2 linked regions of the Drosophila melanogaster genome follow. The protein of the gene in region 1 interacts with the protein of each later gene in a pairwise test. Each region holds a gene or a part of one and is shown in the gene's direction. Other genes may lie near its edges.

The links.
Region 2: the proteins of CG14454 (region 1) and Pig1 interact in a two-hybrid assay, tested with the Drosophila melanogaster proteins (one large-scale study listed by BioGRID).

What each region holds. Positions count from the first base shown.
Region 1 is NT_037436.4:22,691,028-22,694,426, reverse strand, and holds CG14454 (uncharacterized protein), read left to right. Parts: upstream 1-1,898; 5' UTR 1,899-1,914; coding exon 1,915-2,277; 3' UTR 2,278-2,753; downstream 2,754-3,399. Other genes in the region: CG14453 (uncharacterized protein), read right to left, coding at 1-325; CG12546 (uncharacterized protein), read left to right, coding at 638-991.
Region 2 is NC_004354.4:3,248,100-3,251,045, reverse strand, and holds Pig1 (Pre-intermoult gene 1), read left to right. Parts: upstream 1-1,756; 5' UTR 1,757-1,812; coding exon 1,813-2,331; 3' UTR 2,332-2,446; downstream 2,447-2,946. Other genes in the region: Sgs4 (salivary gland secretion 4), read right to left, coding at 69-932.

The sequences.
Region 1 (3,399 bases):
GGCGCTGTTGGCGCCTGCGCCGTTGGCGGGCCAAGCGACGACGACGGGCGGCGGCCCTGCGACGACGGGCGGCCGCGCTGGAGGACGACGACGAGGACGAGGACGAAGAAGTGGTGGTAGTCGTGGCAGACGAGGCCACTGTGGTGGTGTCGGAAGACGTTGAGGCTTCAGTTGTGTCGGAGGAAGAGGACGCGGTAGTGGAGGTGTCCGAGGCGCTGGTACTATCCGAGGAGCTTTCAGTGCTCGTTCCCGTAGCTTCGCAGCCCTGCTGGGCAAACAGGAGGCAGCCGAGAAGGGCCAAGAGCAGAACAAATATGAATCGCATTCTAAGCAGTTATATCTTATGATTTGGAGAATAGCCTATTTATATGATGTTGAACCCGGAAACTTGGTTGAGAAACGCGCTCATTACCGTAAATCTATTACATTATTATGTGTGTTAAGACTCAAGAGCAACGTTTAAACTATATGGCGGCACACATAATTTCTCAATCTGAATAAACATTACCAAAATTTACCTTAGTTAAAGCTAACAATCCAGCAGACCTATTAGCTTACACGCTTTTGGTAAACCACCATTATTCAAATTTGCTATAAAAACATGCGTAACGTCTCAAATGCGTCAAAGACATTCAGCATGCGCTTCTCGATCGTAATTGTTCTTTCCGTCCTAGGATGCCTCCTGCTTAGCCAGGAGGGCAGTAGCAGCACATCTACATCCTCGACGACGACCACAACCACCGACTCCTCTGCCACCACTACCACGGCTTCGTCCGCCACCACTACCACCACTGCCTCTTCCGCATCCACCACGACCACTGCCTCCTCCTCATCCTCTTCCTCTGCGGAGGCCAGGAGGCGCAGGCGCGCCCGTCGCCGTCGTCTGGCGCGTGAGAGGCAACGAAGGGAGCGCAGAAGGCAGCGCAGGACTCAGAGGCTGCGCCAGCAACTGGAGAATCAACGTCGACAGATCAACCAGCTGAGCGGATGAAGGTCTTCGGAAAGACTCGGCTTATGACAATTTAGGAAAAGCTGTTGTAAATATGTGAAAGCTAAATTCTTTCATTGTTCAAGTTCGCCAAGATAATAAAACATTTGATTGTACATTCTGATAATTCTACTTTATTGGAGCACAAAAACGTGTGGGAGTGGCATATTTAAGCGGCTTGAGGGAGTTCAACGTTCTCAACTCTCTAGCTTTTAGAGTTGCTGAGGTCGAGACATTCGTTCGGACAGACGGAGTAATAGTGATCAAGCATATACATATGTATAATTAATAGGGTCGGAAACGCCTGTTACATACTTTTCAACAAATCTAGTTTAGTCTCATTCCAGGAGTAGCCTGTTTCAAATCGAGACGAATTTTGAAATCGGTAACTGGTATAAAATTAATATAATTATACACATCTTTGTTGTGTTTGGTTTAAAAATAATGTAAACCACGTATTTGTTTTTTTGGAAAATAAATCTCTAATTTCGGAGAACTTAAATGGATATAAGCCAAAATGCAACAGCACAAAACTGTTAATTGGGTACGCAAAGCTCAAATGAAGAACAAATAAAACACCTTTAACTCGTCAAGTGCTGCGATTTTTACTCAGATAAGATGTGAATGTACATAAATAGGTTATACCAAATATTTCCTTCAGACGTGACGTGGTCGCCATACATAATTAGGCGTAAGAAGCGTTATAATATTACCTTTTTATCTCGTTTTCAACGAGTTAAACCCGGCTCACTATCAATAATATATCGATCGACTCTTTTACTCTGTTGACCTTACAAGCCCAAGACATTGACGAGCTGGATAGGCTGTGCACACATTTCCGATTTCCGATACATGATATTTGTTTAATTGTTACCCCGTATTGAGTATAAAAGGCCGTCTGATTAGATTAGATTAGACACAACAAAATGCGCTTCCTATTCGCTCTACTTCTCAGCGTGCTCCTGTGTCTGCTCCTGGCTCAGGAGGGCAGTAGCAGCACATCTACATCCTCGACGGCGACCACATCCACCGACTCCTCTGCCACCACTACCACGGCTTCATCCGCCACCACCACTACCACCACTGCCTCCTCCGCATCCACCACGACCACTGCCTCCTCTTCCTCCTCCTCGGCGGAGGCCAGGAGGCGCAGACGTGCTCGCCGTCGTCGCCTGGCTCGTGAGCGCCGTCGTCGCCAGGAGCGGAGACAGCGCCAGGAAAAGAGGAGGCGCAGGATGGAGCAGCTGCTGGTGAGGCAGCGTCGCCTGATCAATCAGCTTCAGGGATAAGTGGGGGCTTGGTCCCTTAAGATAGAATCTTCGGCCGTTCAATAGAAATATAAGCGCTGCACCAACTAATCAGATTATTAGATTGATCTCTTTCTTTGGAGGTATTTTTGAGAAGGCATGCCTGCAGCGTTGAGCAAGGTTTCGTTGTGGGCATTAGAGCATTTAAGACGTTTCCACAGGCATTCCCACGCACATCTACATATTCTATCCGACAAGCGGCGAATCCGCGCAATTCCAAGGCGGCAGACAATTGGCCCTATCCCTGGAGTTTATTATACCAGAGCTTGAGCGCTCGAAAATGCTTTTCTTGCAGCCAAGCTCAGCAGTCAGCCCGCCTGGAATCAAATCAAATAAAATATTCATTTTGGTCTTTGAACTGTGCATAAATGTGCTGCTGTTCACGAAGTGATGGAGCCACCCAAGCCCTGGATACTTAAATCTATTGGATGTGAATAAAAATTACGCTGAATGTGTGCATATATAAAGAGTGCGGTTTGGTGACGGCACGTCATCATATTCTTAGACGTTTCAAAAAGCCAAGGATAACATAGAGACTGACAGGGGGAATCGATGTTTTTTGGTCTTTTTTTTTTTTGCATAACTGCTTGAAAGCAGTTCAAGATTGGGGTTATATTCTGTTAACAATATTCGAATCCACATTTGCTTCTTTGTGCCCATTAATTGCTCAGATCAGACGCATAGAGAATGCCGCCATCTCTGAAGGCTGAAGAAATTTTTTATCGGATTTTCTCGCTACAAAATTGCATTTCAGGGAACTTCGTCCGCAGACTGGGCAGCAATTGAGGGAAACGAAAATAAGCAAAATGCCGCCAGCCAAAAGGTAAAGTACGTTAGGCTGGGCCAACCCTTATTGTTGTCATTTTCCAGATTGCCATTCTGCCATCAATGCCGATTCTAAGCACAAAACGGAGAAAAATGTGTTCTTTCCATCAGATTATTTCCTTCAGATCCGAACCCCTTTTTTAAATTGCTGTGGCATGCGAAATCTTAAAGGAGTCGTAGATTAATGCCCATTTAAACAAATCCTTCAGACATTTTGAGTAACTAAACCTGAACAAGAAAAGGAACTTGTTTTTGCACTAATTGTGGTTTCAGGTGAGT
Region 2 (2,946 bases), on another chromosome or scaffold:
AATATAATATTCAAAAAAAAAAAAGTGATTTTATTCATATTCAACGACATTTGAGTCAAGTTTGCTGTTTAGCAACCACCTTTTTGTGGCTGAGTCTTCCGCGGTTTCTTGGTGGTGTTCTTCTTGCCTGAATCACACGCCTTTGGCTTTGGCTTAGATGTGGCTTTCGATGCGGCTTTCGGTTTCGGGTCGGATTTACACTTGGGTGCAGGCTTGCACGAAGCTTGAGACTTCGATTTGGAATCGGGGCACTTCGGTGTTAGCAGGTCCTTCAAAATACATCCGCTTCCTCCACCGCCCGATTCGTTTTTCGATCCACAGCCACATCCCGATTCTGGTGTCGTTCCTGGACGGTTATGATGATGTACTATCTTTTTGGTGGATTTCGATCGCTTGGTTCTTTTTGTGCGGTGTCGCTTGATGCGTTTCGTGCAGTGCTTTTCACTGGGTGGCTCAGTTTTGCATGTGGGTGGCTCAGTTCTGCATGTGGGTGGCTCAGCTTTGCATGTGGGTGGCTCAGTTCTGCATGTGGGTGGCTCAGTTTTGCATGTGGGTGGCTCAGTTCTGCATGTGGGTGGCTCAGTTCTGCATGTGGGTGGCTCAGTTTTGCATGTGGGTGGCTCAGTTCTGCATGTGGGTGGCTCAGTTTTGCATGTGGCTGGCTCAGTTCTGCATGTGGGTGGCTCAGTTTTGCATGTGGGTGGCTCAGTTCTGCATGTGGGTGGCTCAGTTTTGCATGTGGGTGGCTCAGTTTTGCATGTGGGTGGCGTGGTTTCGCATCTTGGTGGTTCGGTTTCGCATCTTGGCGGTTCGGTTTCGCATCTCGGTGGTTCGGTTTCGCATCTCGGTGGTTCAGTTTTACAGCATGTAGAACCTGACGGGGCAAGTGCAGCCAGCCCCACCAATAACACAACCAACAACTCCAAGCGCATCTTGACTTTGGAATTCAATACCGCGTGATGCGCTTTATATACCCACTGCATTTTGCCATCGACACATCGAACAATTTAAGATACACTCAACAAAAAAATAACAATTTCTACGGTTTAAAATGAAGAAACTAAAAGTAAGCGATATACAAATATAATTCAGCTAAGGGTATGCTGAATCATGATAAACTTGTTGAAATTGTTTGCGCATTGTAATTAAAGCCCATTTGTTTAATGATTTTAATATTAAATTCAATATATATGGAATCAAAAATTATTATTAATATGTTCGTGAAGTGTAGGACAGTGCGGGTGCCTCGAACTTGTCTTTCACAAATATTTACAGAATAGAAAGGTATGTTTTCCATTTTTGGACCGGCGGGTTGGCTTAAACCAACTTATCTCGAGCACCAGCTTTAGTTTACTTAACCGCAGCTGTTGCAGTCTTCCATATTGATCGTGGTTTTGTTTATTATTTTGTTTATTATTTATTTATTTTTTTTTGACTGAATCGAGTTGTGGAAAAATTGCGTGTACTAGTTGTGTGAGCAAATCAAATAGTTTTGCTCAAATCGTTTACTAAGGTAAACAAATTTTATTACTTGTGGCGATGGTTAGACATAGACAAGACTCAACTAGGATCATTCCAGTTACCCTGTCATTTGCCAATTAGATACACATTTTTCCAACCAATTGCCGTCATCGCGGAGACCAATCACCAGCTCTATTGTTTTCAACCATTTTTTTTTTGTTCTGAGAGATTTGATATTTGACTTAATTTTGGCCTTCGCTTGGGTAAATAAAACGTGGTCTGGAGCTTTTACTATAAATTGCGACATAGCATTATCGGATCCCTCAGAGTCAAATAGAATATAGTGTCGAAATGAAGTTGACAAAGTTATGGTTGCTTTTTGTGTGCCTGGGGCTTTTCGTTACCCTGGTTGTGAGTGCCGATACGGACTCGGATGCCGATTCGGATTCATCCGCCGATTCGGATTCATCCGCCGATTCCGATGAGAATACAACCGCATCCGGATCGATAGTAACCTCAACCACGGAGTCCAGTGCCACGAACAGTTCCGGTTCCTCAGATGATGCTTCTGGCAGTAGTTCCGATGTGGACGATGGTTCCGATGATGATACTGATTCTGGATCCGATACGGATTATGATACACCTACTACAGCTCCAGTTGTTAAAAAGAGGGCCAATAGGAAGAAGGCTAACAATAACAAGAAGAGAGCTAGCAACAATAGGAAGAAGGCCAACAATAACAACAACAACAAGAAGAGGGCCAACAGCAACAACAATCGCAAAAGGAGGGCGTCCAACAACAACAATAAAAAGAAGGCATCCAACAACAACAACAGGCGCAGGAACAACAATTCCAGGAGGCGTGGTTAGAGCGAAAATGGTTGAAACAACAACTACATGTGGACTATATGCATAATAAATATTTTTTTTGTTCATGATTCAATAATTGATTGGTGCATTGGTCTGATTCGAAAACACACACACGAAAAACACTGTATTTTTTTTTTGGTGATCGAAAAAATTCCGAGGAAACCCCATTCGGTTGAAATTAACAAATGCAATCTGCATGACCAATTCGTGTGGGTAAACACGAAAAATTTGAGACAAAAAATGCTGATGACTATTTAAAGACTATGCTCTCACATATTAAAGAGATACATACATTTGAAGTGTAACAATACAGGCATTATTTCCAATGGACAAGCACTTTTCAACAAAAGCAGACATAACAAAACCAAAACAAATATGTGTTACACTCTAAACGAGAACAATAGGTGCCCATCGACGAGCTTCAATTTGAAATCACAAAATATTATGGACACAATGCACATTGAATGTGCTGCAAACTAGGCAACAATATTTTTACAACAATGTGCTGTGTGTAGTGGTGTGGTGTGGTGTGCGTTGGTGTGCGTTGGTGTGGAGGAAAATGCCTGTCAAAATCTCAACAGGTGTCGATGACTTATCGATGGCTGGCTTTCAAGC